Alligator mississippiensis: one gene and its partner. The protein of the gene in region 2 interacts with the protein of the main gene of each other region in a pairwise test. Links are inferred from orthologs where the notes say so. Each region holds a gene or a part of one and is shown on either strand. Other genes may lie near its edges. The genes, in order: NELFA and PRR22.

The links.
Region 1: the proteins of PRR22 (region 2) and NELFA interact in a two-hybrid assay, tested with the Homo sapiens proteins (2 studies listed by BioGRID). The two-hybrid records come from large-scale screens. The link is inferred for Alligator mississippiensis from reciprocal best matches to the Homo sapiens genes PRR22 and NELFA.

The regions. Positions count from the first base shown.
Region 1 is NC_081825.1:18,989,714-19,006,287, forward strand, and holds the start of NELFA (negative elongation factor A), read right to left. Parts: upstream 8,691-16,574; 5' UTR 8,646-8,690; coding exon 8,394-8,645; intron 8,386-8,393; exon of another isoform or gene 8,300-8,385; coding exon of another isoform or gene 8,279-8,299; intron 406-8,278; coding exon 234-405; intron 1-233. UniProt on the Homo sapiens protein: Essential component of the NELF complex, a complex that negatively regulates the elongation of transcription by RNA polymerase II.
Region 2 is NC_081839.1:5,972,881-5,989,455, reverse strand, and holds PRR22 (proline-rich protein 22), read right to left. Parts: upstream 6,132-16,575; 5' UTR 3,635-6,131; coding exon 3,508-3,634; intron 3,272-3,507; coding exon 3,209-3,271; intron 2,637-3,208; coding exon 1,447-2,636; 3' UTR 1,338-1,446; downstream 1-1,337. Other genes in the region: DUS3L (tRNA-dihydrouridine(47) synthase [NAD(P)(+)]-like), read right to left, coding at 13,932-14,004, 15,677-15,805, 15,928-16,116.

The DNA of each region.
Region 1 (16,574 bases), on a different chromosome or scaffold from region 2:
TTAGATTTACTCCAATTCAAGCTCAGGTGATCATTCCTTGCATTTCAAATGAAACTGAACCTATCAACAAGGATTAAACCTATATTTGCTGCTTCACTGTAGAATCCAGAACATACGGAGCGAAATCTAGGTTTGAAGTCACAAAAGCCAGGATTTTATCCATCATGTTTTGAATGGATTTGTCAGATTTTGTATTTTCAGGCCAAATACCTAAGCAGAAAGCAATAGCTTACCTTTTTCTCTAAGTTCTCCTAAAATATCTTGAACATTGGGATTCTGTTCTTCAAGATCAAGGTTAAGGGAGCCAGTATCTGGAAAGGATTTTAAAATATCAGCTACCATTAAGACCCAGGGGTCTGAATCCAAGGTAGCGAGCTGGATAATTTCAGTCAGTGCACCTTTCATCTAACAAAAAAGAAAAAAGAAAATCAACCAATTGGCAACAGTCTTCAGCAAGTTGCTTTGTATTAGGAAATGTATTCAGATACCAGCAAAAACATGCACAGCACATTACTTCCTATGGGAGCCTAATAGGCATTTTTATACCCCAGAATAAATGCATAAAACCCCGAGACTAGACCTAAGCCACTGACAAAGAATTAAAAATGTGTTTCAAGTCTTCCCAAAATTCAAGAATCTTTTCACCAAAAGTTTCAAATGGGAAAAAGTACTGAACACATTCAGCCAAAACTTGACTGCTGATGTTATTTCCAGATGTAAACAGTGCTGGTTCTAGTCCCCTTACGCCCTAGAGCTCACATTTCGGAGTCATAACATATCTGGCAGCTAAGCAATGAGGTTATTCATCTGCAATATGGGAAGCCTCAACTCAAATTCCCCCCACCCCCCCTTTTTTTTTTTTTTTTGCCAGATTCAATTTGGGCTAAGGTCCCCTTTTCACCCTAGGACACGCCTAGATTAAAGTGGGGCACACCCCACCTCCAGCATGTGGATAGTACTCAAGCCCTTTTAATTTTTTCATTAAACTGAAATATTCAGGTTGTAATCAATCCAAATTTATTATAACTCGAGGTGACCAAAAATGTATTTTGGCCAATAAACGATTTGCCAAAAAACGCCCACTGCTTGGCTTCCTGTAAACTATGTTACAAGATTTTTGCCACAAAGTTAAGAATAAAAGCTATTTTGAAAACTTATTTGTGGGGAGGGGAGAAGCTTGGAAAAGAAGAGAGAATTCATAACACTGTAGTGGGAAAGTTATTACACTATGCTTTTGGTTGCTAATCAAAACATGTATTATCATACTGGAAGATGCAACAATATTAGCCAATACCAATAAGCTGTTACATCTGTATGATTCTGAAGTGCAGTGGTTTCCAATCTTTTTTTTATACTATGGACCGGCAAACTCACTCAAAGAATGTTGGCAGACCGGGTATAGAAACAATTTAATTTACATATTTAAATTTAATTTATGTGGCAGGGGGGAGGGGAGGTTGCGAGGTACATCAGGAACATCATCAGTAAAGGAGATGACAATAACTAAAATTCATACATACACATTGCCAGCTGGCTAACATTACCTAGCTAGCTGCTGAGGATACAAGGAGGAGACAAGCCAGACATTAGTAGCTACGGCAGTCTCTCTGATACAGAAGTGACTAGCCACAGTTACCGCAGTCCAATTTCAAAAGCTAAAGTCACACTGGCCAAGTGACGATATTCTTGCCCAGCCAATCAGCATGATGTGGGCGTGGCCTGGGCATACAACTGTTGCTAGCAGTGGTTAAAGCTCGTGCCACGACCTGGCAGCCAACCCTTTGGGCCATGGCCTGGTGGTTGGGAATCTCTGCTGTAATGGCACAAGGAAAGCAAAACTGTTTCAACTTTAACCCTGCTTCATTCAAGGTCAAATTTCACACAATTTAGCTCACTTACAACTCAATGTCCACTCAATTTGCAATTCTGCAGAAACTGCTAAATCAACTTAAAACATTTAATAAAGTGCTAGCTCCCCAATGGGAGCCAGTAAACCTTGCTGCTGCTGTGGCAGCCCAGTCTGGGGGCTGGGGTGGCGCCAGCTGGTGAGGCAACACAAAGGGCAGCAGACAAGATGGGGCTGCCCCCCCCCCCCCCGTCCCTCCACCGGGGTCTCTCCACCAAATGGTGTCAAGGGGCAGGGCCACATGAAGGGCAGCCAGCAGGCAAGATGGTGCACCCCCTGCCAGGCCTCTCTGCCAACCAACCAGCACTGAGGGGCAGGGTCGTCAGAGCACATTCAGGAAACATCTCCAGAATGTGCTATTTATGCCATGACCAGCCTGTGAAAATTTAGTTCCCATGATTTAGGTAGACCCCTACTTATAACACAATGGCTCGGGAAGATAGAATAGTTACAGAGCAATAGCCAACGTGCACACTAGAGGACAAAGCTTCCCCTCCCCTTTAAAACAGCTGAAACATATGCTTCCCATATTCTTAGCCAGTAGCAACAGACCCAACCTAAACAACATCCACATTACTGACACTTCACACAATGATTTTTTTTTAATTTAACATTTTAGTTCTTCATTTATAGATAGCTCAGGCTATGAAGTACAAGCTGAAAGTTGGACTTTTTAAGTTTTTTTTTGGTTTTGTTTTGTTGTAAGATTTGTTTAAAGGTTAAAAATTAACCTGCCTCAATCTATCCAACCTTTAACAGAACGGAGATGTGGCTTCAGGTAGTTGTGCATACCAGGCCATAAGACAAACAGAACAAAAACTAGCTGATAACTATTAAGTCACTGGCAACATACAATATTAACATTAGAGATTTTATGCATGGAAATGCAGACCTAATATGGAGACTTGGCCTTTTCCATCTCCAATTGCGTTTAACACTGTAAATTGTACAATATGTATTGCAATGTTTGCAGGTATTCAAACATGGCAAGTTATCAAAGACAGATTTTCAGCCTTCAATCTGCATTTCCTTCCCTTTATTGATTTAGAACGGGACCCCTCTTATGCAAACATTTCACTTGCTTCATGCTGATGTGTTTCTTTGCTCTCTTTAGACTATTAACTTGACTTTCTGTTCTCCATTCCTCTCTGAAAACACCTTCAGACCTCAAAAATAAAGTCAATTGCTGATGGTCCTTTTGATTTTGCTGCTTCTTACACAGTGCCTCCCTTCTACCACAAACCTGTTTCATTCCCCAATTTAATTACTATTAATACTATGGACAGAATCTGTTTCCGGGAATTTATAGCCCTTAAACCTCCACTATACCTCCTATTCTTTCCCAGCATGGCTAAAACTCATACTTCGCAATGAAACACAAGTAGACTAAAGGGTAAGAAGGAAAAATGGCATTTTCCCTACAAATCCATCAGAAGTGATTTCCACTACAGCTAACAAAAGAATGAAGTGGGAGCAGAAAGAAAGGATAAAATACTTGAGGATGCCAGTCTACATTTTCACCTCCCACCCCCCACACGAATTCTAAAACTTTAAAATGGGGACTTTCAGGGCCTGTAAATGTAACAACTGTATAGTCAACAAACCTTTCTGCAGGTTTAAGTAATATGGTAAAAAGGCCCCCAAAAACCTGATAAACACATCTACTTTCTGCTAGGTTTAACATTAGTCCAACTGAACTAGTGATTTTTGTTTGGCAAGTTTCTAACACTTCCCCACATTCTGTCTGTTCTTCTTAAGCTGTTTCCTACATTCCCTCACAGCCTGTGTCAAAGTCTAGCCTTTTCTTGTTTTGATCAGGAAGAACCTGATCCCAGGTTGAGCTTACAGGGCCAGCAGGTAAAAAAAAAGTTAACTTTTATTTGCAAACTGAGCACACTGTTGTGATGAGTGTCCTCATTTTTAAGTAGCGTTGGAGTGATGTTGTAGCTGTGATGGTCCAGGAAGTGAGAGGCAAGGATTTTTTGTGGGCAATATATTTTACTGGACCAGCAACATAGCTGTAATAAACTTAGACAAACTTTCAAAAGTAATGCATTCATATCACTCACAAAAATCCATGCCATTTTTACTTTCCAGAGAACCACAAACTAATGTAATTAAGAGTATTGAAGATGTTAAGGTCAGGCCCAACAAATTTTGTCAGTTCTCCTTGCACACCTCATCTGAAATGCAAGTGTTTAGCAAAAACAGCTTTAAAAAGGTATGAAATTGGTATACAGAAAAACAAGGTGCCAACAGTAATTTGCACAGGCAGCCAAATGTTTCTCCAGAAAAGTCTGCTAACAAATCAAATGTATACCTCTCCTATTTCAGTTTTGGATGTAAAACAATACTGTAAAGCTTTAATTTAAACAAAATGAGAAAAATGAAACTAATTTTCACTTGTATTAAACCACAATGAACACTATGAGTAAACAAACATTTGGGGTTAAAGAAAAGAAGAGGAGAAAAAAGAAGAAGTAAGAATGTTTTGGAAGAAGCCCTTTTGGAGCTCTTGCTCTAGAGCGCTGTGGACTAAACATTATAAAGTGGATTCACAACTAGTTATGAAACCTGACATGTTGTAATGGCTCTGTGTCAGTACAAAAGAAACTGATGCAGCATTTTCATTTAACCAAAAAATGTAGTAAGTAATAAGTATGCCAGTATTATATGTAAATGATACAAAGACAGAAAGCATCAACTACACGTGTGTGCACGCGCTATAAATTAGCAGTGCACCGATAAAGCCTTTTTTGGTTGATACTGATGGCTGATACTGATCTGATTGCCGATATGCAGCCCGGCAGCTTGGAGAGCAGCTTCCGGCTGGTAAGTATGTGGGACGGGAGGGGCATGGGGAGGGGAGCAGATGGAGGTCCCTATGGTGAGGGAGGGAATGGGGCTGGTGCAGGGGCAAGCGCTGCCCAGCCAGGGCAGGGCACAAGATAGACCTGCAAATGGCTTGTCTGGGGGGACATGGTGGAGGGGGAGATCCCTGTGCTAAACGCACCCTGGAGGAGACATAGGGGGCATGTGTCCCCCAGATTTGTGCATGGGGTGAGGGTGGGCTGCCTGCTGTGGCCTCTTCGGGGGGGGGGGGGGGGGTTGCCCTAAGGCTGCGCTCAGGATGGGTGGGGGCAGTTTACAGAGTGGGCTACAGCCATCCTAAAATTTGCCATAGCCACCCTGTAGCCCACCTCCCAGCGCTGCTTCTTGCCTCACTCTCCCCAAGTACAGCCCCAACCCAGCCCCCCTGCTGGCAACAGGCTAGCACAGCCCCTGACCCTGAGTGCACAACCCATCCTTGTCCTGCACAGATTTCTGGGGGTCACAGCTCAAGGGAGGTAAGAGACACAACATGAGTACAATGTGCTTGTGCTCCCTTGTACCTTGTACATGTGCTGATTCCAACTTTGAAGAGTGCATAAGGTGAAGGGTCTCCCCACTCAAGTAGACTAGCAAGAGGGGGCACTGCACTGACTACCTTCTACCACGGGGGCATCAAACTCATCTTGCCCCATGGCCTGGATAAGAAGTATGGGACTGAGCTGCAGACCAGACTGGGCCCACAAGCAGCCCTATGCACCAGAGGCAGCGCACAGAGCATACCCCACACTAGGCTTGCATGCCAAGTGCAGCAGTGTCAGCCCCAGCCTGGGACTTAAACTTGAAGCTGGCACAGGGAACATGTTGCATGCAGCACCTGCACCAGCCAGGCTGAGTGCTGGCTTTGGTGCATGAGGGTGGTCTGTGGGCCAGTTTGGACTGATCCCAGAGTCAGAACATGGAGCAGGTCCAGCAGGGAGCCGTATGCAGCATATACCCCAATCAGCCCCCTGTGCCACATGCAGTGTGTGCCTGGTCCAGCCCCACATGCTGCATAGAGCAAGTTAGCCTTGATCCAGGGCTCACACAATGCACACAGTACATTGGGCGAGCATGAGGCAAACACTGTGTGGCACTCACACCAAACCAGCCCCAGAGTCAGTGTCAGTTTGGGTGCCCAGTTCAGCTTGTGCATTGCATGCAGCATACAGAGCTAGGGCCACTATGCGTTGCATGAGGGGTCAGCCCGAGACCCATGGGCCAGATCCTAGGTCTCCACAGGGTGGATTTTTGATGCCCCTTCTCTACATCAATGACTCTCAACCTTGATAGAATCAAGGCACCCCTCAGAAAAATGCTAAACTCATAGTTTTCACTCATTTTTTGAGTGCAGAAAAATGATAAAGCAATTCTTCTGTTGCAAAAAGCTCAGACCACAACAGATCAGGATGTTTTGTCACTATAGATTCCTATTTGATATCTCTGGGATTATCTTGAGAATCATGTGTAGGTCTTTGTGCAGCACCCTTAAAAGTATCTTGCAGCACCCCAGGGGACCATGAAACCCCAATTGTGCAGCAGAGCTACGATGGATAGGACCATCTCCCTCACAGGACATTCCAGGGATAGCAACACACACATTGCTCTTACTCTGGCAGGATCAAAAACAAACAAAAAAAAGATAATCACAGGATAGTTCTACCCGAGTATGTGCAATGCTGGCACAAAAATTCACATGCCATAGGTTAACAGGAGTACAATGTGCAAAGTAAATAAATGTCATTATTCTGACCAAAAAAAAACAAACAAAACACCAACCAGAAACTCAAGTCAACACTGCACTGAGCTTTAGGCATCATTTGAAAAAAATGTGCTTAGCTTAAAAGACATTAGGAGAAAAAGGAAGAAGTTTAAAGAAACAGAATCCATGAAAAAGCATTCAAACGCTTCCATGTTTACCCCAAAGAAGTACTCCATGAGTATAGATTTGACAACTGTCTACAAATACAAAACCAGGGACCAATTATTCTTACTAGTCAGTGATGACAAGCAAGCAGTAATGGGGTTTACGATAGGGTAAAGAAAACACTGCTTGATTATCTATTCCTGCCTTAAGATGATATTAATTCATTAGTACTGGTAAAAAAGTAGAGCTCCTGAACGAAAGGTACTATGGTAGCTACAAAATATAAAATATCAGGGAGAAGAAAAAAGAAGCACAATACTTAAGCAAAGGACCAAGCTACCAAAAGGAGACTGTAGAGATATCCTTGTCTGGACTTGCCTAACCTTCCCTGGGAGAAAAAAAAAAAAAGTGGACCAATGATCCACTAAAAAACCTTTTTAAAACCAAAGGGCATCAGACAGTCTAATAATCCACGTGTTTCACTGTAGTTAGACGATCAGTCCAAGAGGTATTCCACCGTTACAAAGCGCACGTAATCCATCACTCATTTAAAAAGTGAGAGATTCTCTGTCACATGATACTTGTTACAGAGTTTATGATGTTTGTTACAGATATTTTCTCTGTGAAGTGACAGAGCCCCTTGGGACTGCCTTACTCTTCCGTTAAAGAAGTGTAAATGCAACCTGACACGCAGAGGGCACACACAATTTAAAGACTCACTATGTACACCACCCGCGGTGCACCAATTACACGTACAATGCACAGTTTAGATGCACAAAGCTGATGCAATGTGGGTCCTAATCTCATAATATTCAGGTGCCAATGCTGTGCTCCTGTAACCTTACCAGTACACACGTGTATACAAGGAGTCAGAGGAAGTAGATGTACAGTGCTCCAAAAGTACAGAGACAAAGTCAAATTTGAGGCTAACTTGTTCACAGAGAGAAAATTGAATGGAGAGAAACTTGAAGTTGTCACCAGACAACTTATACAATTAAAATCAACGTGAATATAGATGGCTTTTCACTTTCCTGGAGTCATCACTCTCCTGTATTAAAATACATCAAGACTGACAGCCCGCTCAGCGAGACATAACGCACACAACATAAATAACGGTCCGCTCCCAAACACTAAAGAAAAAAAGTTGTTGTTTTTTTTTTAAATGAAAAATTAAACACGGCTTGTTTTAAAAAGCAGCACATGACGAGCACCACCCGAAACCTGGCAGCAGCAGGATGGGTGTAAAGCAGTAAAGCAGCCTGCTGGGGGGACCGGCCCCTTCTCCCTCCACTCGCCGCTGACCCGTGCTGCTTCATCAGTCAGGCAAGGGGGGGGGGGGGGGGTGTCCCTCCCCCAAAACGGTTTGAATGCACACAAAACCAACCGCAGAAATAAACTGCCTGCCCAGACCAGTTTCCCCTCTGTAAAACCCAAATAATAAAAATAAAAAACCGCAATAAAAAAAACCAAACCTTTCATTTCCACCCAGGAGAACTCTGACCGTCTCCCCCCCCCTCCCCCACCCGGTGCCTGACGAAGGGGGTTCGTGCCCCAAAAGCTTCCCATTAAAAATGTATTATTATTATTATAATTTTTTGCCAAAAACAATCTCGTGGGTCTAATAAAAGAAACTGCACCTCTCCCACGAGTCCCGACATTGCCGTGTTACTACGGAGAAACGCAGGGGCAGTTTGTGTCCGGGACGAGTCTGCCTGAAGCGGGGGGAGGCCCGAGGCCGGGCCCCGGGCTCACCTCGTCCACGGCGCGGCGGGGCAGGTGCAGCATCCCCAGCAGCAGCTTGAGCTTGACGGGCGACGAGAGGCCGTGGAAGCAGAGGCGGATGTTGTCGATGACCGAGGCCGTGAGCAGCGAGGCGATGCTGGGCGGCGCCCACAGCTCGTCCGTGGAGCCCAGCTTGTTGTGCAGCCACAGGCCGGTGTCGCTCTCCCGCATCGACGCCATCTTGGGAGCGGGCCGAAAAAAGAGGGGGTTCTGCACGGGCATTTTATGAAGACACCTCAGCGGAGGCAAGAAGGGGCGGAGGGGGCGAGGACCCGCGCTTTTCGTCACCCAAAATGGCGGCGCCCAAGCGCCGACGGGAGGGAGGGATGTGGGAGGGGGTGGGGCCTGTCCGTAATCTAAAATGGCGGCGCCCAAGCGGGAGGGATACAAAATGGCGCCGGGCGTTGCCGTACAGCAATATGGCAGCGCCCTGCTAAGGGAAGCAAGCCGGGAGGCTGTGAAGCGGCTACATGACGAGAGTATCATGTGACAGTATCGGGACAGCCCCCACGGGCTTGTCCTCCCGCACGTGGCGGGAGGCGGGTGATGAAACCGGCGTGTAACGCGGCCGCTGCGGCCTTGTCATGCTCTCTGGGGGGAAGGGGCACTGCGTGCGTGGGTGTGCGCAGCGCCGGCCTTGTCATCCTCTCTGGGGGCGGTGGGGAAGGGGCACAGCGTGCGTGGGTCCGCGGGGCTCCTTGCTTTCCACGCAGGAAGAGCGCGCGCACCAACTGCGGATGCTACCTCAGCCTGACCGCGGGGGTTTCAACCCGAAAGCTTGCAAAGAGGAATTTTAATAATAATAATAATAATAATAATAAAAGATTAGACCCCCAAAAACGTGTCCGCCTGTGTGTTTTGGTTACAACCTCCGCCCCCGAGATGCTCCTCGTAGCACGCAGGGGCGCAGCGTGGCGCGGCGCGGGTCCGGGCGGCCTGTACGGCAGCTGCTGAACCCGAACGAAGGCAGCCGGCCCTGCCGGGCGGGTTGGGAGCAGAGCGACCGGCCTCGCGCGCCCGGGCAAACACATGGTGCCATGTGAAGTCCCGACGCACGCTCTCCCTGCGCGCCTGCCCGGCCCATGCGAGCTCGTTGCTATTTAAATTCGGCCCGTTGGGCTGGGCGGCCAGTCCCCAGCGAACGGGGCGCGGAGTAAACGAGTTGTCTGCTCGTAGTCTTGGAAATTGGGGGAATTACCTCCTTTCCGTTCTGGGAGCCCGAAAGCTTGCAGAAAAAAAATGTATATATATATTTGTTGCAATTTCTCATTTGGTCCGATAACAGGGCTCATCTCTGAACCAAGAGCTCTAGGTTTTTGCACTTCTTTTTGTCTCGGACCAAGACAGCAACCAAATACATTGCTTACCTCCTTTCCGGGCTTTTGAGAAGACCCTGCGATTTATAATGATCTAGCTAAAGAGGAGTTTACTTCCTACCTGGCTTCTCTGTGGGGGATGAGCTGGGTGGCACAGGGGAGCTTTACACGCTAATCCTTCTGGCCTCTCTGCTGCTGCAATGTTGCTCCTGATTTGTGCAACTTGTTTGTTTCTAATTAGTGTCCAACATGCACAGTGTTTTGCAGCCCCTAAAAAACCTCAGTTCATGGAGTGCTAGTTTGTTCCCTGTCTATAAAGTGCTCTGGCACTGGCGACGCGTAGGGGCGGCACACGGGTGCACACGCGCCCCCTGAGATTGGCCACCACCAATGTCGCTGGCGGTGCCTGCGGGCAGTCGCTGCTCGCCACCCTCCGCCCTCCTTGCTGCCAGCGGCGTCGGGGGTGGAAAGATGCTCTAAGAATGGATGATTAACACAAGGACAAGTGTTTTTTTCATCCCAGCCAATCATTTCAGAAATGGCTGCAAGTAACAGATGTATTTTACTAGTGCTATAAATGCATATGCAGTATATATAAAGAATTATGACCCATTCTTATACATACGTGTATATACATATACTTGTATTTGTATATAGGAATGGGTCATGATTCTTTTATATATATAAATCTTAAACTGCAGTGTCTGCACTGCATGTGCATTTATACCACTCTGTATATCTGGGTATATATATGGGTATAATGGGTCATGATTCTTTAGGCCTTAGGGGTGCTGCGTAGTCAGAGTTTAAGTTATTCTCTAGTAAATGGCTTATTGTGGCCCTGGGCAAACCACTTCACCTCTGTGCTTCATGTTATCCAGGTGGAATTTAGGACTGGGGATAATATTTATCCGTACACAGATTTGGAATTTGCTTGTATAAAACAAAGTTAGATATAGGCAACAGGTACCTTGGAACCAAGCAGAAGTGATCAAAATGGAAATCTAGCTTTTATTAATTTTAAACAAACTAGAGGTTAGAGGTGCAATTCTGGGTTCCACACTTCAAGAGGGATACGGATAACCTGGAGAGGGTCCAGAGAAGGGCCACGCATATGGTCAAGGGCCTGTAGACCAAGCCCTATGAGGAGAGACTAGAGAAACTGGACCTTTTCAGCCTCCGCAAGAGAAGGTTGAGAGGCGACCTTGTGGCTGCCTATAAGTTCATCACGGGGGCACAGAAAGGAATTGGTGAGTATTTATTCACCAAGGCGCCCCCGGGGGTTACAAGAAACAATGGCCACAAGCTAGCAGAGAGCAGATTTAGACTGGACATTAGGAAGAACTTCTTCACAGTTCGAGTGGCCAAGGTCTGGAACGGGCTCCCAAGGGAGGTGGTGCTCTCCCCTACCCTGGGGGTCTTCAAGAGGAGGTTAGATGAGTATCTAGCTGGGGTCATCTAGACCCAGCACTCTTTCCTGCTTATGCAGCGGGTCGGACTCAATGATATATTGAGGTCCCTTCCGACCCTAACATCTATGAATGTATAAGGCAGCACCAGTTGCCCATGGTTACAGGAATGATACCCGAGACTTCATTTTGGGGAGAAACCAGTAATAAACCTCAAATGTGGTCCCAATTCATGGGTTGCCATCTTGATTTGCCAAACAGCTCAAGTTATTATGGACAATCGAGTACTCAGTCCACAAGCAACAGATATTACTCTGCACGGCACCACGTTGGTACACAAGCAGCAGGCATATTACTGGGTCCTTACTGATATCCTACAACTGCAGGTAAAGGCAGCAGTGTCTGATCCAACACTGTGGTCCAAAGCAGCTGAATATGAAGTGTTTTATGTATCACAGACACACAAAGAACCCTATGATTAGGGTTGAGCAGGTAAGCATTAAGAAGTTAAAACATGCTAAAATTAAGGACATTTATGCAACATTAACCTGGCTGTCTTGTGTTCATATATAACTTCTGATGCTTGACTTTGCCTCCTCAATAGACATCTTAGATTTGAACAGCTGCATTCCCCCATGATCCCATCCGTTAAAGCTTTCAGAAGTTTAAAACTTCACGTGATCTGGGGAAGATTTTCACTGAGAAAGGCACAATGCTGATTACAAGGCTGTTCTCTCTGCTAAAGGTTAGGTCCAGGCTGCACAGAATTGGAGTGTGTGGGGATTATGAAATATACTGTAATTATGCAATAGGTGATGGAATATTTTATTATTCGTAAATCTTCCAGGTATCCATGATTTGAGAAACAGACAAGCAGACACATGCACACACAGGGGGTTGAAAAGCTACTGTTGGCAGGATAAAGTTTGAGGAACCACAGATAAATGAACAGGTGGTGAATGATGGCAAGGAGATTGGTAAGCCAAGGAGTAAACCTGAAGGTCTTGAATGAAGCCCATTAGTAGTACACAAAGTAAGAAAGAAAGTTTTGTGTATTCGGAGTAACAAGATAGATTTGTGTGAAAGTTTGAGGCTAGATCAGGGGGATAACATGGGGTGAGAGAAATGGATTCTTGCTAGTGTGAACTGATCTGTTGGAGCCAGGCAGCCTGGGACAGGGTAGAGTCTCTCTCACTAGCTCAGCTGTAGGTATTCTGATCAAATGTTTGTACCCATAATTACTGTGTGGGTGCAGTTATTTAATAAGCATTGTAACACTGCTAGTGGTGCTTGGTATTTTGTTACAGTATTTTAGGATGTTTGTTTAATGTAACTAAAAAACAGCTGTTGGTCTTTGGATTTACTTAAGGCATTTTAGCAGGATTGTTGATACAGGCATTTGATTCCAGCAGCGCTACACCTTTTCCAAGGGGGTATGCTCCAGTCTGGGCCTGAGTGGGACCCTGCCTGCTATTGCTACTTTGGGGTGCAGTAGGCCATCCCATGTTTTGTGTCCTGGAACTGAACTGAGAGCAGAGGCAGCTTCTTTGCTCTCAGAGATAATCTTCTGGGCCCAAGCAGTTCATGGAAGAAAGGTGTCAGAATCAAATTTAGTCAGGGCAAAACAACTGTTTTTTTCCCTACATCTTTCCTAAAAATGGCTTTGATCTCCACCCCCAAAACAAAACAATACAAAACACCAAAAACCCAAAATGAAAGCTGGTAGGGTTACTGTATGCCCGGGGTTTCCCAGACATGTCCTCTTTTTTGGTCCCCTGTCCTCATGTCTGGGCAGGTTTTTAAAATGCAAGCAAATGTCTGGGTTTTTGATCTGCCTCTGCTTTTTCTGGCTGGTTGCTTGGGGCTGGGAGCAGTAGGCAAGGTGATTGGCTGTTGGGGATCATGTGCTCTGCACAGCTGGGCTGGGGGGGAAGGGTGCTGCAGGTTGGGAGCGAGGGGCACCAGCAGGGCTGGGGGGCAGAGGCTGTGGGTCCAGAGAGCGGGGCACTGGCAGGGCTGGATGGCAGGGGCTGCAGGTGGGAGTGAAGGGCACTGGCAGTGCTGGGGGGCAGGGGGTTGTGGGGTGGGAGTGGGGCACTGTGGGTTGGGAGTGAGAGGCACTGGCAGGGCTGGGGGTCAGAGGCTTAGGAGTGAGGGGCAGAGGCAGGACACGGACATATCACTGCCCCCCACCCTCCGTCATATGCCACGTCCCCTCTCCTCTCCTCTCCTCTCCTCTCCACCTCCCCTCACTATCTCGGCCGGGCTGAACCGACTCGAGGTGATTCAGAAATTACTCATTTGTCAGGGTGGGCTGGTGAATGGAGAGGCTGACAAGGCTTAATGGTTGCAAAAAACTTTACTTACGTCGCAGGTGGCTGCGACGGAAATGGTTCGGTCGTTTGGACAACAATGTGAGTTGCTCCAGCTGGCGAGGCCAATGCCAGTAAATTTGTCCATAACTCAAGCCAGCGGGAAAAGGGTACGTCTGGGATTGCGTTCGGCGACAGGAAGAAGGGTCGATAGGTGATCAGTCTATCGATCAGCTAGCTGCAAGTCAGATCTCTAAGAGGCACTCTGCAGCGTGCTCAAAGCTCTTTGACTTGGGCGGAAGTCGTGCTAGTTTTTAAACGGCCAGCAAGCCAATTACCGGCCGCCACGTGTGAATAATTTAGCACTAGCCAATTGCGGGGCACAAATTTACATCTGAATGGCGGGAACTCTTTGCACTGTGCATTTCTGTGCTGAAAAGAGAATGCATCCTGCAAAGACAGCTGCAAAGTGGCGGGAACTCTCTCCTGCACGCGGATTCTTTATGCAGTAAAAACCCTCGCTGTGCAAGAGGCTCTCATGTGTCAAGAAAATTTCATAGTGCCGAGGCACCAAACTCACTGGGTTATGACACTCACAAGTGTCCTTTTTTTGATACTGGAAATATGGTAACCCTGGGAGGTAGATCGCTGGAATTAAAAAATTCAGCCCAAATACCTGGGGAAGTTGTGGAATCTCCTTGATTGGTAGTTTTTAAGAAAAGAAATGTATCTAAGATGGCTGAGGAGTAGCGCATTCTTCCTCTGTTATGAAATACACCATCTTCCTGCTCTATGATTCTATGATGAAAGTTTGGCAAGTTTACTGAAAACAAGGCTTCTTAATGGAAAGTCTCAAGCAACCCTATTATGTAGGCAACCTTATCATTAAACCTGGCTCCCAGCACCAGGGACTTAGTATAGAAACAATATCTTCATGGTCCATTATAATCTTCCTGATACTAACTAACTCCAGGTAATAATGACTCTACTTAACAAGGTTTTGTTCCATCTGCTATTTAGTGCATCCCTGTCTGCATTTGTCTCCGAAGCCTGACAAAGGGTACTGTGATACTGGAAAGCTTGCTATACCAACTACAGTGCTGGTCCAATAAAAGATACCGTGAACAAGAATTCTTGCCTTTCTCAAATCACAGTGTTTCAAAATCATACATACGTGACTTTTTTGTTTGCCTACACTTTGTACAAGAAAAGATACAAAAGAATAAACAAGGGGCATGTTAATTAACACACTAATTTATGCTGGGGTTACCCTGACCGAGGACAATTGATGTCAGTTTTGCAAAGTTACTAGTAACTTGCCAAACAGCTCAGTGAAACCCGTTGCAACATTTTCTTCCAACAGAATGAGATGATGCAAACACAAGTAATAATGAAGTCAAAGGATATAAACCCAAGTAAGGTTGATGTCAAAATGAAGGATTCTCTCTTATAGTTTCATAGTTGTTAGGGTCAGAAGGGACCTGAGCAGATCATCAAGTCAGACCCCCTGCCATGGCAGGAATGAGTGCTGGGATCAAATGACCCCGGCGAGGTGATTATCTAGCCTCCTTTTGAAGACCCCCAGGGTAGGAGCAAGCACCAATTCCCTTGGAAGTTGGTTCCAGATCCTAGCCACCCTAGCTGTGAAGTAGTTCTTCCTGATGTCCAGGCTGAACCTACTCTTAGTCAACTTGTGGCTGTTATTCCTAGTTACTCTGGGTAGTGCTCAGGGGAACAGGGACTCTCCCTTTACCCTCTGGTTCCCCCTGGTAAGTTTATAAATGGCCACCAGATCCCCTCTCAGCCTTCTCTTGTGGAGGCTGAACAGGTTCAGGTCCCGTAGCCTCTCCTTGTAGGGCCTGCCCTGCTGCCCCCTGACCATGCGAGTGGCCCTCCTCTGGACCCTCTCCATGCTGTCCACATCCCTCCTGAAGTGCGGTGCCCAGAACTGGACGCAGTACTCCAACTGCGGCCTGACCAGTGTTACATAGAGGGGGAGGATCACCTCCTTGGCCCTGCTTGAGGTGCATCTGTGGATGCATGACAAGGTGCTGTTGGCCTTCTTGACCGCGTCCCCACACTGTCGGCCCATGTTCATCTTGGAATCAATAATGACTCCAAGATCCTTTTCTGCCTCTGTACTGACGAGAAGGGAGTTCCCCACCTGTAGGTATGCTGCTGGTTCTTTCTCCCTAGGTGCAGTACCTTGCACGTGTCAGTATTGAATCCCATCCTATTTTCATCTGCCCACCCCTGTAACCTGTCCAGATCTAGTTGTAGCCTGTCCTTCCCTTCTAGCGTGCCCACTTCTCCCCACATCTTAGTGTGATCTGTGAATTTGAACACTGTGCTTTTCACCCCCTTGTCCAAGTCACTGATGAAGACGTTGAACAGTGCAGGCCCAAGGACCGAGCACTGGGGGACCCCACTGCCCACATCCCTCCAGGTCGAATAAGACCCGTCCACCAGCACTCTCTGGGTGCCGCCCTCCAGCCAGTTAGTGACCCATCTGACTGTGTAGGCATCAACACCACAGTCGCCTAATTTTTTAATGAGAATGAGGTGAGAGACAGTGTCAAAGGCCTTCCTAAAGTCCACCGTGACAGCTGCGTCCAAGGATTTTGTGACCTGGTCATAGAAAGCCACCAGGTTGGTCTGACAGGACCTGCCCCTGATGAACCCACGTTCATAGATTCATAGATGTTAGGGTCGGAAGGGACCTCAATAGATCATCGAGTCCGACCCGCTGCATAAGCAGGAAAGAGTGCTAGGTCTAGATGACCCCAGCTAGATGCTCATCTAACCTCCTCTTGAAGACCCCCAGGGTAGGGGAGAGCACCACCTCCCTTGGGAGCCCGTTCCAGACCTTGGCCACTCGAACTGTGAAGAAGTTCTTCCTAATGTCCAGTCTAAATCTGCTCTCTGCTAGCTTGTGGCCATTATTTCTTGTAACCCCTGGGGGCGCCTTGGTGAATAAATACTCACCAATTCCCTTCTGTGCCCCCGTGATGAACGTATAGGCAGCCACAAGGTCGCCTCTCAACCTTCTCTTGCGGAGGCTGAAAAGGTCCAGTTTCTCTAGTCTCTCCTTGTAGGGCTTGGTCTGCAGGCCCT
Region 2 (16,575 bases):
TCCCGGGCCGTTAGCCGGTGCAGCTCGTGCCAGCCCCAGGCTGCGTCCTCTTACACCTGCAGAGGCGGCTGCAAGCAGGACCGGTCTGCCTTGCCAAAGCCCCTGCTGCCTCCTGTAGCCTTTTTTTGGGTGGGGGCAGCTGCTTCCTCTGCCCACCCGGTTCCCCCCCTATGCTGCACAGCAAGAGGAAGTAGGGCTATTTCCTCCCAGCCGCCCGCTCTGCACGCAGGCGCCTGGCTCAGCATCACGGCTCTGGGGCCTCGTTGCCTGCCCAGGACCGATCTCGTCAAACTTCAGCCTGGCTTTGTCCCAAGCTGGGGTCTGTGGGTGAGGGGGACGTGGGCAGAAGCACAGAGGAGCTGTTGGGGGGGGGAAGTCGCAGGCTCCAGATGGTAATTTGGCTCCTGCAGCTTGGGGCAGTGGGGTTTAGACCTTTCCTGCCGTCTCCTCTAGCGGGCAGAGTTCAAACTATTGGGCAGAGAGCCTCGATCCTCGCGTGCTCTGGGACCGCACAACCTTGATGGCTGCTCTACCACCAGGACCCCGCTGTCACTCCTGTTACGGGCCCAGCTCCCTGGCTTGCTGGAGGGAGTCCCCCCTTGCCGATTCTCCTGGGCCCTGCACCTTGACCCCGGTGTAAGGCGGATGTACAGTGCTACAGCAGTAAGCCGGTACCCTGGCTACTGTCACGGCACCAGTTCACTTCCCCGGGGACCTTCTGCACCTCGCTGCCCGTAACGTGGCCCGGGAACAACTTTTGTGCGACTGGTCTGAATGAGCTGTGTGTCTATATTCTAGGACAGGGCTGTCCAGCTAGCGGTCCATGGGCATATTGAGCCCCCAGGGATTAATCTGAGGCCCTTCCAGGCTCCCTCCAATGCTCTCCTGCTGCTCCTGCCAGTCTCCAGACTCCCTCCTTTAACCTTTGCTGCCTGCCCCACCCTTGGCAGGGGGAAAGGGTGGCACAGTGCAGCCTGCAAGGCCAAGCAGCCCATAGGCAGGGGTCCCCATGCTGTATATTGGGCAGGGGGAGGCGGAGAGGGCAATGTGGGATGGAGGCCACATGGCATGCAGCTGGGGTGAGGAATTGTGGCCCCCAGAAGACAGACAGGCCTGTTGTAGGAGAGCATGAATAACTCGGGACACATTGGCCCACTGCACCGTCTATAAATCCCTGCGAACAGCTGGTTTGGGATTCGGCATTTAACTCCCCTACATGCTTGGCTGTTGCATCCACTTGGTCCTTTCTACACCACACTCCCCTGTGCTGCACCCTGAGTTTTGCCCTTGCAATTCTCTCTCAAATGCAGACGCAGAGTATTTCCAAACAGATCGCTTTTAATGGGGGAATAAAAGGAATGTCCGTTCTGATCAAGTCATTCATTGCAATCAGCGGGCCTGCCCCGGCCCAGAATTGCTTCTGTACAGTCAGAGGGAAGGTGCCAGTCAGACAGCTGGCATGGGGCAGTCCTGCCCCTGGGACATGCAGCAATCCTGTGCAGAAGAAGCTTTGCATTTGCTGGCTCTGTGTTTGCCTTTCTTAGCAGACGGGTTACTTCGCTTCTTTTTCCTCTGGGGCTCCTGCAGGCCATCCTGGAGCGATGCACGGTTTTGGGGAGCTGGTAGCGCCCGTCCGAACTCCCACTTTGGTTCCTCATCGTTGGTTTTGATGTCGTAGAAATAATCCAGGCTTGCCACTGTGGTTAAAATCTCTGGCACGCTGTAGGCACAGGACAGCAGCTCCTCTGGCAGCTTCAGTGAGCTCATGTCTTCGCTTGGGAAGTCGCAGTCTTTCCTCTTCCTCTTGCTGGGCTCAGGGGGGCGGCTCAAGTTGTCCTTGGGGACCTCAGAGTCCGAGTTAGCTGGAGAGCAACCAAAAAGTTTCATTGCATCTTCCAGCAAAACCTTCTCGGGCAGGTCGAAGGATTTTTGTGCGTCCGCCGTTTCTCTTTCTTCAGCTGCAATGCTGTCCGGCGGAGGACAGGGTGTCCCCTCTGGCACCACCTGTGCCTTTTCAGCACCGGTGCTCGGAAGGGGATTTTGCTCTTCCATGCACACGTCCGGGGTCTGAGGGTTTGCTAGGAGGTTCTGGATCACATGATTTTCTTGAAGGTCTCTCCCCTCAGCTTGGTAACCATCAAACACTTGGAAATCCAGGTGGTGGCTTGGGTCAGGGTCGGTCGTCTGATTTAGCCTTTCCTCCAGGTGGTTGAGGGTGCCGACTTGGATGGGGGTCTCATTCTGGTTCAGGCCAGGCAATGTGATAAGGAGCTGGGGTAGTTTGTGGTCGCTCTTCTGAATTTGGCCTTCTTCCTGGAGATGAGGCACCTCAACGAGCTGAGAGTCGTGAAGTGGGTTGGGGACAAAATTAACTTGTTCTGTGACGCTGGTGAGGCCCTCTTGATTGAAATAAGGCATGATGTATTGGGGGTTGCTGGGGATTTGCTGATAATGCGGGTACGGGACGGTCTGTACAGGGCTCTTGAGGTATCTCTGAGCATCCAGGAGGTACGGGGTCTGCGAATTCGAGCCGCTGGGGAGCTTATAAACAGATGGCTGCACAAAATTGGTCGTTGCCCATTCTATACGGTATATCCGGGGATCGAAGAAACATCCGCAGGGAGCCATCTGGAAACCTGGGCAATAGAAATAAAAGCAGCTTTTTAAGTATCCAGACCACATAAGCATTCAGCTTGACTGAACCCAGCCCTCCCAAGCATGGGGCAAATGCTAATGTAAATTGGTGCTGGTCTATTGACTTCAATGAGGTTATATCAATTTATGCCAGCTAAGGATCTAGTTCTGCAATGGTGCATATCGGAGTCAAATTAGACACCGAGGTCTGGTCTACACTACATAGTTTTCCTGGCATGGCTATGGCAGCTGTGACCCCATAATGTAGAGAAGCCCATGGTATAACCTGGTCCAAGTCTGGTGTTTCTGGTCTGCATTACCAACTTTGGCATTCGGTTGGGCATAGGACTGGAAAATCAGAGTAGGTTCGACACCAGGTACGGTGTTTGAGATAAAATAAGAGGGCGTAAGGGAAAGTAGGTGTCCTCCGAGGGCACATTATAATGTTCAGCCCAACTTGCTGGGCCTGACTCTTTACTACCCACCGCTGGCACAGCCAGGACCTTCAAAGGGAGTTATGAACTTCACTCGTACGCCAAGTTCGGCCTTAATTCCTCTGCCGCGTGTCCCATACCTGCAGGCGGCGACATGAGAACTTCTTTGTCTTGACTGGAGGTCTGATACAGGTTGGACGTTCCTGAAACAGTAACACGGGAGTTCACGTCACCACCACGAGCAACCGAGGCTTTATCCGGGGAACCATTTGAAAGCGTGAATTAATGCAAACGTCAAAGGATTAGAGAAAATGGGAAAAAGAGGAAGGCCCCAGAGAGCAAGTAGCAGTAGGTTACATCCAGGGACAACATGTGCCCAGGGGAGAAGTTTTAAAGGGGGACAGGCTAGGCAGCGGAGCGGAGAATTAAATGCTCTTACCTACTGAGGTCAGGGTTTCTGGGAGGACAAATGCTGGAAGTGGCCTGTTCGCTTGGCAGTCTGCTTGGTCGAGAGATCTGGCACCGTAGGTCTCCTGGTGCTGGTAGAACAGCTTGGGCTGCTGCATCCTCGCTGCGGCAGGTCGAATGACAGTCTAGCACAACCGCTCTTTGGCTGCGTCTAGGGCAACTGGCTCCAGACGTGGTTGCCGCGGCTGGGACGTTCTGTTTTGATGGTTACTCGGGGGAAGAAATCCAGGTAACAACCGAGGTTCTAAGTTCCTTAAGGTGCTGGGACAGGTCACCTCCAAAGCGAGGGCTAGTTTTCATGGTAGGGACCTTAAAAAGGCTTGGTCCTGACATCGCTGTGTCTGAGGGTTATGGTGTTGTAGAGGGACGAGTGTTTGTCACGAGCTGTTTCAACAAGGGGCGATGGGGGGATCTATGGGATTCTTATAGGGTGGCTCAAGGCTGGTGTCGTCTTCGTCTTCACTACGGAGTCATATATTCTGCATGGCATAAACCAGATATGTTGTTTCATAGATTGTAAGGCTCCTCGGAAGATCATCGGGTCCAGCCCCCTGCACCAGGCAGGAAAGGTAACTGGGGGTCCAGCGACCCCAGCGAGGTGACCGTCCGGTCTCCTCTTGGAAGATCTCCAGGGTAGGTGACTGGACCACCTCTGGAGGGAGCTTATTTCACAGTGTGGACGCCCTGACTGTGAAGGAGTTTTTCTTTATTTAATCTTTCAATGCCTCAACTCGTTCATCAGGCATATCCTACCTCTAGCGTCTCTGCCAGGTTTGCCCCCCATGAGCATCTGTCTAGCCTCTCTCTCAGCCATATTATATATCCAAGCTCATCCAAATCCCTGGGAGCCCCTGGTAGCAAAGGGACTGATGGGTTCTGGTCATACCCAGGAGCAGAAGGATTTCGGAGAGGGAAAGTGCCCTCCATCGTATTCTTTCTGATGCACGGAGCAGGGGTCTCGTTTCTGGAGGCCCAAGGACCAGCAGGTAATCAGAAATATTTCACTCCACTTCCGGATGGTCGGGGTGGTCGGGGTAGGGGGGTGCTCATTTGCTCCTCCGGGCGGAGGACACGTCACCTGGGATTCACTTGTCACTTCGAGACTGCATGAGTGCAAGCTAGCAGACAAGGTGAAGAGCTAATGGCATCTCTGCGGTCTCTATTTCTGCTGTATCCTTTTTTGAGGCAGGGCGATGGGAAGGGAGCATAGCACTTTGATCCCCTCTCCTCCCCTCTCAGCTACTCAAGATGCAAAGCGTAATGGGTGTCGAAGACCCAAAATGAGAGAGGCTAGTACTGCTTAAATGTAAAATCAACCATCTTGAATAGATCAGAGAAACGATGGGTTAGGAAAAAAAAAAAAAAAGAGTGAGAAAACTGAGTGGGAATGATGGATATCGCTCTGTGCACGTGCAGAAAGGGGCAGCACGTGACATCAGTCTACGTTTAAGAATAATGACTGGCGTGCTGTTTCTCTTGGGCAAGTGCAAGGAAATCTCTGACTTGCGAGGAAAAGGTTTGCAAAATTAAAAAGCTTCTATCCGGCGACTGAAATCAGACAAAGCCATGAAGCGGGGGAGGCGAGCGTCAGTGATGATCTGCCGTTCTTTCCGTGCCAAGTAGAAAGCAGGTTAGCAGCAAATCCAGAGATGCAAGGCCAACATGTTTCATGAGTTACATTTTCCCCCCCGAGGGTGGCACACCAAGCAAAGGGACCCCCCAGCAGCGCCCAAACCTGGCGTGCTAGGATACTTCCTCTCTGCGCCGACAAATACGTCTGAACAGAGATTCGGTGCAGGGATGCTAAATGCTGATGGGAACTTCCACACTGCCGTCGTGTCCAAATGTAAACCCAACTTCAGTCCGATAGGTGGTGGTGTGTCCTCACACAGCAAATACATCTGCTGGATATGAGACATATTATCAATGCCTTTTTTTGCAAATCAAGGGCAAGTGAAAGATGGAATTATAATCCCCATTTGCCGCCTTTACCAAAGTTGGAAATAGGTAAGAGGATGAAAACTAAAACCAGTCCACAGCTGGATCCTGGCAGTCAGGCGTAGGCACAGCTGGGATTAGCAATAGGATCCGAACACTCGCAATGAAGTCTGAAATCCCGAAAGATGGATTTTCTTTCTGTTTCATGAGATGTTCCTAATGCGTCGCTTTTGTGAAATTATTACTCGAGTTTTAAACGGCATTGAAATATTCGGCAAACGGCATCAGATTCACTTTAATTTAAAAAAAAGCAAAAATGGTGATTTAACATGTGCTTGGACGCCGATTCATGTTTTCTGCAGAATCCACATCCCATGCCCTATGAAATATCAGGTGGGTGGGAACAGATGAAATAAGGTTGTGGAAAATTGTGGAAAATAATCTCATAAAAACTATCTGCTGCTTAACATGACTCTGAAATTATAACATCTCTCTGCCAGGGCTGCCCTTTCCCAGAGCAATATTAGTACTGGGGTGGGAGCGAGGGAGATATCAGTTAGACTCTGCTCTCGCCGTACAGTTCCCAATGACCACACTTCGCAGCTTGGTAGCAACCTGGAAAGCCTAAAATGATCCTGGCAATCAGGACTTGTAGTAGAAATAATATCTTTTATTAGACCAACACGATTTTTGCAAAAAAAGTCTTTAATTTTGCAAAAATCGTGTTGGTCTAATAAAAGATATCATCTCTACTACGAGTCCTGACTGCCTTTTCCTCTAGACCAATACGGCTACAACCTGCATACCTGATAAAATGATCCTGCTCGTTGCTGCGTTCAGCTGAACTACGGCACCAGTGCCCTCTACCGTCCATTGTAAGGGAAGTCTCCCAGAATATCATTTCTTCCCGTTCCCCCGCCTGATTGACTGCTCTGCTTCCTGCCCTGAGATGTCTGTCCTCTCCACAATCTGCCACATGCCATGCAGAGGTTGGTCACCCCAATCTATATTATTTTCTTTTTAAACTTTGTACAATATTCTTGATCCATCAAGGACAGGATGCCCAGAGCCTGCCGCTTCACTGGCTTGCATCTTGTGCGATTATGTGCACCCAATCCACGTGAAATGCCTGTGATACACAACCACTCTGATCCGGTTGCATTTTGCGTCCTGCCAGACACTTGCACTGTATTTGGACAAGCGACTGCTGGGCAGCAGGGAATCAGATCATTGCTTGAGGGCATGGACAGGTGCCTCTCAGGGTTGGCAAGGCAGTGCAGCTAGTGGCTCTCGGGGCAAGTCTTGTTGGATACACCCTGTCCACTTGCCCACCTGGACGTTTGATTTTGATACATGGTAGAATTCAGGCTGGTTTTGGTCCCTCTGCTCCATTCTCCTGCATCCAACCCAGGCTTGCTGTGCTACAGCATGCCTCTGTAGCATGGTCTCCAATGTGATCGTAATTTTAGCGAGCATCAGCTACCAAGTCTCTCTTCATCGTTCCTGTTTCTCTAGGCCTACGTTTGGGATTGTATTGTTCACCTGAACACGTGGAAACCATTCCTTCTCGCTCCTGTTCTTATGGCACTTGTCTGGCCTCCTGCTTCGGCGTCTCGTTGCTGCTGACGCAGCACTCTTGCCATTGCAAAGTGAGTTCTCACTACATAACTTTCCCCCTTTGCTCAGCTCCTTGCATCTCTAGAGGATGGAGACATCTGCAGGTAGTGTTCCTGGATCCCATCACTCAACAACATGGAGATAATGCAGGAAGGGAAGAAAACTTCCTCCCTGACCCATGGAGCACATTAGACTTTCCCTGGAAGCTGGGTCAGACAATTATAATTTTAACCTGCAGCTGTATCTATGAATCTATGAAACATCTATAAATCTATGTATGACCCCCGGTGCTACAGGTTTGCGTCACGCCGCGACAGAGCATGTAAACGGTACCTGGCCAAGAGATGCACTGGAACCAGCCCAAAGCCTGGGGGCTGCTCCCAATATAAATGGTCCTCTTCTGCACTACAGGGCTTCTTTCCACCTGGAAATATGCTGGCAGCACTGAATGCTGGGACCGACGGGTAGGCCTGCTTCTCCATCTGTCTATGCTGTGGCTAAATCGGGGATAAACCATTGCAAGACCCGCTCCGCACCAGCTGCAGTGTTACGTCGAGGAGGAGAGGGGCTGCAGGCCACCTGCTGCATGCACCTTTATGGACTCCATTTGCCAGCTACATGCTGCATCGAGAGCTGCTGCCCCCCTTGGATCTCCTGATGAGTAAATGCGATTCCTGATTAGACACAGAAATACTAGGCACTGAGATTCACTGAACTAGGGATCAGGTTTGAAGCGGGATCCAAACACTATAACTCGTACTCTCTAGGTCTATACACTAAACCCTGCCACTTCCCCATACATATTCTTGGTGCAAAGTACCCATAAACATGCCTTGAAGAGCCTCTGAACTAGGCCACGGCAGTCTAAAAGCCTGTAATTAGCTCAATCAGGACTCGCAGTCGAGGTATCTTTTATTAGGCCAACAAGATGTTTGCAAAAACATTTCTTTAATTGCAATTGTAATTAGCCTGTTATTTTTTGAGAGGTAAGGATTGTTTGAGGTGAGATCTTTCATTGGACCAACTGCATGGTTGGGATAAAGCTAGACAAGCTTTCAAATGCACGGCATTTTTCTTTCGGTCTGAGCATTATTTTTAAGTCTCTATTTTTAGACTAAAAAGAAGTCTCTTCTTTTTGAGTCTGTTAGTGCATACCCCCGGCGGGGAAAATAGCCTTGCTGCTGGCGTGGCGCTCGATATAGCAAAGTGAGGTCTCACTGCATAACTTCCCCGGCTGGCGCAGCTCCTTGCATCTCCAGAGTATGGAGACATCTGCAGGTAGTTTAAGCTGCTCTAAATCGATCCCAGCCATGCCACTGGGCCAGCAAAAGATACCACCCCCCCCAAAAAAAAATCCTTGCCTCTTGCCAATTAACTATTACATTTTCTTTGTCATCCTTTCTTTCTAGGCTTTACTGCCCCCACCTTCAGCCCCTCGTAGCTTGGATATTATTGATCCTGATTCCTCTTCCACTCTCCTGAGTCATGTTTTAGCTTCTGGTGGGTTTTGTTTTTTTTTATAAGACTACGTAGCGAGCTCTTGAAGCATCTTTCCCCCCCAGAAGGAAGCCAATTAGTGACAGCTGTGAAAGCAGCAGCCCGCCGGGAGCCAGCCTGAGATTCATCAACCCAATCCACAGAACCCATCGAGTGATAACGCCCTTCGGTCTCTGCTAATCCGCTAATCTGCTAAACATCTGAATCAATTTGCCTGAGATAAAAAGCCCGCTGAGCCATGTGATCCCCTGGTAGAAGTGTCTGGAGTTCAGCTGCTAACACATCCACTTTTTCTTGACAAAGAGGCTGTGGCTGAAGACAGTCTGGCAACCACTTTTCTCCTGTGAGTAGCTGCATTAATGTCTTCTATTCTGTGAGATGCTCCCCAAAAGGCAGGGACGCTCTTGGTAGTGCGTAGCACATCCCTTACACTCCTGCCACGTTGCACAACACTGGTATCGATGTTCCAGGAAACCTGGGCATCCCTCTAGTCCAGCAGCTCTCAACCTATTTAGACTTGGGACACCCCGTGGAAAATGCCAGCTGGCAGTTTTCACGTGTTTCTTCGGCTACATAAAAATAACAGATCCATAATAGACACAGAGGGTCCGAGTGTTTTTAACACTCTGGATTCCTGTTTGAAATCTCTGGGTTTCCTTGTGAATCATGTTAGCACCCTTAGGGGTGCAGACACTGTGCTCACCCTCAAAGAGATCTCAAAGCACCGCACGGCTGAGTGCTCCAGCTCCTCTTCAGATGGGACCAATATACAGCTACGGAAGAAGGAGCAGGCCTGATGCCATCCAGAGAGCAGGAAAGTTACTCCTCAGCATCATCCCTGCAGGTAGCGCCGACATGGCTTATCTCTTCTCATCCGCTGAGTGTCTTACGGACACACAGCTGAGCCCTGTGTCAAACGGAAGCACGTGCAATGCAAAAGCAAACTGCTGGGAATGGATGAGGGCATGCTTGGAGGAAAGGGGTTACGGAGCTGAGTTTGCAGGGAAATCGGTGGTTGCATTTTCAAAATGGAAGGAACAGATTTGAGGGCCTTCCCCAGGTTGTTCTGGGTGCACTCCAGCATAGGAAGAGCTGTGAACCCCTTGAATTCTGTCAAGCCCCCCCCATTTCCATCTGCTGTGAAATAGGAACGGGAGAGGCCTCCAGGCCTCATTCACCAAGTGCCTTAACATGCTCTAAGGCTCTGGGCCCGATTCCCTGCTCATTGCAATCATTTAAACTGCAATGAAGTAGGTGTAAAACACAGCGCGTCATTCTGATGTGCCTTGTAGAGCAGCAGCAGCAGCCGCTCAGGAGCTGGGATGGGAGAAGGGAGCTGGATCTGTCCCCCTGCCATGGTAGAAGGGGGAAATGGGCCAAGGTCTTCGTAATGGTTCCAGCTGACTCTTAACTGAAAGGAAATGCCTTTCTGTGGGTCTTTCTTCCTCAGCTATAAGTGACATCCTGGAGAGGACAGTGTAAGCGATGTGGTCATGACTAATCCCATGTGGCCGCAGGGTGGAGAGCTGGATTGTTTCTGTGAGTACGTCTGGTCATCACAGCAGACACCACCTTTCTCCTGCCCCTTCCTTACAAGTGTTTAGGCACCTAAGGAAGGAGAAAGAGACTTAGTGGGATTTACAGCAGCAGCGGCTTGTATAGTTTTGTACCCTTCCATGTCCTTAGGTGGCTAAACACCAAGCAGGAGCTCCTCGTGTAAAACAGACATCTAATCATAGGTGTACATGCATCCCTACAAGTGCACGGATGAGAGGTACGACATACCCGATCTACCTGCAAATTTAATTACAAGAGTGTGTAAAGCTCTCATGGCCTCTCCTCCTTCACATAAGCACCTGCACTGCTTAGCAGTTCTGTGGTAGCTGACCAGCCCCACATATTTGCAGTTTTAGCAATTTTTTTACTGAAATTGTTGCCTTGGAGGCAAATAAGGAATTGACTTTACTATTGAACACAAGGAACTCATTTAAGAAAGAGAAAGGGAACCCCTCTATGAAGTCTCACACCTTGATCAGCAGCTGAGACCAATTCCATTAAGTTTTCATGGTGCATCGTCACCTTTTCTTGCTTAATTCACTCTCCTGCAAGATTTACAACGTGGCTGTGAAATGCTGGAAGCAAAGCGTGCTCGTGAGAGGGGGAATGCAGTTACAATTCGATCGGCACAGACAAGGATTTACTTTTCATTTCCTTGCCTGAAAAGTAACATGGACACTTGCCATTATGGGCAACCCGAGAACAGTAAACCAATTTATTTAGACAAATCTGTACAACAGGGGTCGGCCATCTACAGCCCATGGGTCAGATCAGGCCTGCAGATGGATTGTATCTGGCCCGCAGAGGACAGCCGAGGCATTCAGTAGTGGGGGAATCCAGGACATGGGTACCATGCAGTGGTGGGAGAAATGAGCTGCAAAGCAAATAGGCAGCGGCTTGTCTTAGACCAATCTGTTAATTTGGCCCGCTGCTGTGTATGAATCTAGGACCTCATTTCACAAAGCGCTAAGTCCCCCAGTTCAGGCATAAGCCACTGGAAACTGCAGAGGCTCAGCATCCTTCAAATACACACCCAACACCATTTAATACTGACATACAGTAACTACTCTGGCTTCCAGTTCTTTCGTGTGCGCTCATTTACACTTGCGTGAAGTGAATGACATGCACTTGCTTATGCTTGGAGCATTTTTACACTGGCTTTGCCAATACAAGTCACACCAAGGGGGAAAGGCAATGGTAAAAAGATAGGTAGACATTGAATTCTGACTTGCGCCTGGTAAGCAGTGATCTGTGGAGAGCGATTGCTGTTGTGCAACTGCTGCGTGGCGTTTGATCCTTTGAGTGGGATTTTCTGAAGCACGTAGATGCACAAGTCTTGACGGCCAACAGGACTTAGGCACCTAAATTACTTGCAAGCGTTGGGAAAGAAACTGCCTTTTGCTTCAACATGGCATGAGAAGGTTATTAAATCCTGCATGTGACAGCCATTATAATAGGCCCATTTCTATTCATCCCTAGCTCTGGGCTGAGGAGAATGGTCTTTTTTTAAAAGTAAAGTTTCTGTTAGGATGTAAAAATAGCACATCCTTAAACAGCAGATCTTCTCTGTGTGGGGAACTGATGAACCAGAATGAGTTTCTCTTACTGTCTCGTTGTTATTAGTGTTAGACAGGGTTGATGACACAGCTGGGGGAAAATGAACTAGTTTCTGGTTGCTGTTCGGACATTGATAGATGTTTAAAATTTCAGCTGCAGCATCTTTCCTGTTGCAGCCAGAGGCATTTGTGATAGTTGTGTTGTGCCTGGACATGTGTCATGTGTGCAGTGTATTCGCTCGAGTCTGATATTACAGTCTGACAAACTGGAAGAAAACCTCTGATGAGATTAGCCTGGGAAGGTCACAGGGGGTTTGTTACTCCACGTGCCAATCTCAGAGTACTTCAGCCCTTTTGGAACTACTTTCTCTTGCAGTAAAATTTTAAATTCCCTCATCACTCCTTTAAGAACCTAATTTCAATGCAAAATCATTTTGGGAGACCTAATTCTCCCCCCGCCACCCCACAGGCTTTCAGATACACTTACTCTCTTAAACACTGGGTCTAATTCTATGAATGTGCAGCTTGCCAGGCTTCATTTGGATTCAGGGGGTCTACACTTTGCAAAATTGGCCCCATGGATTGCTGCATCTTTGTCCTCTTGCAGAAGGTGGCTTTTTGGAATAGGGATACATTGGTGCTATTGGCAAAGACTATGGCAAATGGTCAGCCCTTGCTACACAAGCACTAACACAAGATGCACATGGAAATGCTCCAGAAAATTCAAGTTGTGAACTGAGCAAAGCTCCTAACCAAAAGGTACTTTATTATTCAGCAAAGGTCAGGAGAAGCCTTCAAAGACAGTGTAAAGAGCTATGCAGGAAGGAAAAAAGAGTCTACAACAGTGGTTCTCAATTTTTTTTTTTTGAAGATGATTCAAGGCACCCCTAGTTAGACTCAAGTACGCCCTTGGAAAACTCTAGCTCTTACTTATTTCTTGACTATGGAAAAATAACAGACCAGTTCTTTTGTTGCAAAGATCTCAAAGCCCAGAACGCTGTCGATACTATGGATCCCTATTGGTAATCTCTGGGTTTATCATCTGAATCATGTGCCGATGTTTCCACAGGAGCAGTCAGAGAGACTCATAGACATTAGGGCAGGAAGGGCCCTCACAAGATCATCGGGTCCAGTCCTGCCCAAGGGGCAGGAAGTCAGCTGGGGTCGGATCACCCCAGCAAGATAAGCATCCAACCATTTCTTAAAGGTATCCAGAGTAGGTGCTTGGACCACTTCTAGGGGGAGGCTATTCCAGACTCTGGAGACTAGGATGGTAAAGAAATGTTTCCTTACATCCAGTCTAAAACAGTCTTCCAGCAGTTTGTGACTGTTAGACTTTGTCTTCCTGTGGGACACCCTGGTGAACAAATGTTCTCCCAATTCCTGATGCACATCCTTTATATATAAAGTATAGGCCTAATATTGCATGGCAACCCATGGCACCCTTAAAAAGGATCTTATGACATCATCTCTGGTTGAGAATCACTGACTTAAAGTTTAGGGCATTATCTTAAGACTAAAGTGACAGGTTCTATTCCCTCCTAAGCTATGCACCCCCCAGTGTGTCCTTGTTCAAGTCACTTAGTTTCTCTGTGCCTCAGATCCTCACCCATGAAATGGGGATAGTATTGCTCAAGTTCATAGGTGGATTTTGAGATCAATACATTAAAGACTATAGGGCAGAGTTTCTCAACCCGTGGGTCACAAGAATATATGAAAGGGTCATGAACCAACATTAAAAATGCATTCTCCTTTCAAGGAGAAAAATGTGGGAAACTGTGGCTTTTCCCTTGCAGGCTGGCTGAATTCCACCCTGCAAGGGGCTGCCTGGGGCACCCCTTGCCCCACACACTGTGGGGCAAGGGGCATTGGGTCAGGAGTGAGGGGCACTGGACTGGCCATCAATGCTTATAATTGGGTCCTGATATAAAAAAGGTTGAGAACCGCTGCTATAGGGAACATTATTGTGATAGAAGATGCATAAGTATCTTAGATAAGCTAGAACTGAGATGTTGGTAATAGGCTGCTCAAGGACCAAAGCTACCAGTATTCTGGCATCTGTCCCCAATTGCAAGGCTACATACAGACAACACATCAAAACTGCAAATAAATAAATAAAAAGACCCATAACATTTTATTTGGTTCCCAAACACGGCAGGGTCATCTGCATCTCACCAGAGCATTTATAGTCTTCTCTTGATCTGCTGGTTTAAGGATTTCCTGGTCAGTACTATCTGTAAGAATTCGCCTTGTGCTTGGGTAGGAAGGTGAAGTTTGTAGGAACAGGTCCCAAGAGCATCTCACTGCAACAAAGCAAGAGATTGGTATTCATTCATACCCTGATCCTCACGCTACCTCCTGCCAACACCCGCTCCAGTCCAAGCTGTGCCCTCTTCAGAGTATGAACTTCAGTCAAAGTTTTCTAACTCGGTGTCTAGTAATTCAACTCCCACAGACCTGCAGTGGGAATGAGGAGCCTAAATTCAATTTGTGCTCTTAAAAATATCCTCCCCTGCCTATCCTGCTGCTTATGCAGAGCCACAGGCTGCTCGTGCTCAGCTATCAAGGGCCACATGCCTAACTGCTGTCAAATAATACAGCTCTACTGAAGTCAGTGGGGCAATGGTGGCTTCCATAAGCTAAGGATCTGGCCTATCAATCCTAATATATTTCATATTTCAGAACTCAAATTATATTTAAGGTTGGATAGAATATTTGCTCTTATTGTATTTTTGTGCCTTCTTTATGCACAATTCCTGGACGCTACTGTCTTTTCAATGTGATTTCATTACTCTTTTCCATTCCAAGACACATAAGTAGGGAGTCCCACTAGAACAAGCAACGGCACACCAGCAATTTTACATGTGTTGCACAAATATGCAGCTACCGGAGCAGAGAACAAATAATGCACACTTCTACAACTGCCCTTCTGGGAAAAGATGGGTGCTTCTCTAAATATTTTATTCTTTTAACGTGAAAAAAAAAACTTTAAAAAGTTCTATATCTACAGTGAAAAGCATAGAACTGAGGTTTCTGAATCCTAAAGCCAAATAATCTCTGCTTGGAAAATGCCATTTTGAAAACATTGCTGAAATTTAGGTGCAAGACAGGTGTTTTCATTACCAATAAAGCAGACACAGATTAGCAAAATCAGAGAAGGCTGCAGTCATGCTTTATTTCTCCTAACGTCCTCTATATCCATGAGATGGGAAGTAGTAGCTGGAATTTCCACCTAAGCTGAGGCCGGCTAAATACCTGCAGAGTAATTGTCTGAACAACGACGACTTTTTGGATGCCATGAAAAATGTTTCCTGCATTTCATAACATTAACTCAGGAAATATGTAGTGTTGAGGGAGGAAAAGTCAAGCAGCCCCTCAAGTCCATTAGATTGGAAGCTCTTTGGGACAGGACCCATTTTTTTGGTCGGTCTGCACAGGGCCGGGCACCGTGGGAGCCCAGTCCGTGCTTGGAGCTTTTGGAGGCTGCTGCTGTACAAATGTATCGTGAGCACTGTGGAATCTCAGATGTCAAGGCATCACATTATATTTTCCCACTCTTGTCCACCTCTCAAACAGTAACTGGTTACCAAGTGTTATCAGAAAGACCAGTTCCTCTTAGGTTTCAATAGACATACCCAGATGTGATCTACAAAGGCATCCGTGGACAGATACCAACAATGGGAGGATCATATGGCACTACCAGGTTTAACCAAGAAGCAAGGGACTGCATAATCTTCATAGCTTACAAACTGGAAAAGCAGATGTTTCCGCCACCGAGTTGGAAAAACAGGATCAACCCTATAAAATGTGACGTTCTCCGAACCCTCCACACTGAAATAAGATGGTTCTAGTTCTGAAGGCGCGCACGAGCAGATACTGAGATTTAGCTGAGTCCAGGATTTGAACATTAAGCTGTAGGGAGACAACAGCTGTGACCACACGCATGCTTTGTGGCAAGTGATGTCAGACATTTACCTTATTTTAACCCAGTCATCCACATTTTGGCTTGCCATTAATGTCTCCAGATAGTCTCTCCCCATATAGTAAGGCGGTCGCTCGTTGATTTTCTGAGGTAGATATTCCAATAAGCCAGTTGGAATGTACCTTACAATGCAAACAGATGCAATGAATGTCGCCACATTTGATTAGTCTTCAAAATACAGACGATGCAAAGGCCGAGCAAAAAAAAAGCTCTTTGCTACCCAAGGTCTCAGAAAGCAAATTACCTGCACAAGAATGACAGCCATTCCAGCATGAACTTCCTGGTTTTCTCCACTCCCTGGGTGTCTGAGCCCCAGTGTTCGAGGCCATAATTGGTGAAGTTTTTGAGAATATCGAACCTTTCACTGGAAGAGATGTCCCAGTGTCTTTGTTCCTTGATTTCAGTGAAAATCCAGGGTTTGATCAAAGCCCCTCTGTGATAAGACAAGACGCTCAGATCAAACAGGAAAACGGTTGTAACCAAAGACAACGTGTTGGTTTGCTATGAAGAGAAACCAGGGTGGTTTTTTTGTTGGTTATCTTTTATTGGACCAACTGTCTCGAGGTGGCAAATTTCAATATTCTCTACGCTGTTGTTATATGGAAGTTGGTCCAATAAAAGACACACAAGAAAACCTTGGTTCTAATGTAGACCTGGGAGCATCCTGGGTATAACCCCACTCAAATCTTGCTATAAAATGTAACTTCAGAAACAGGCTTTTATGTTTGTGACAAAGAGGACTGTCACCACAAAACAGTGAGTCACAAGAATCACAGAGAAAAACTCTAGTAAAAGCAGCTTTCCTACAAAGTGCAGACTTCGAAAGAGGACAAGAACAATTCTGCTAGTCTCGTTTTCACCTGGCTGTATTTTTAGGGCTTGATTATATCCT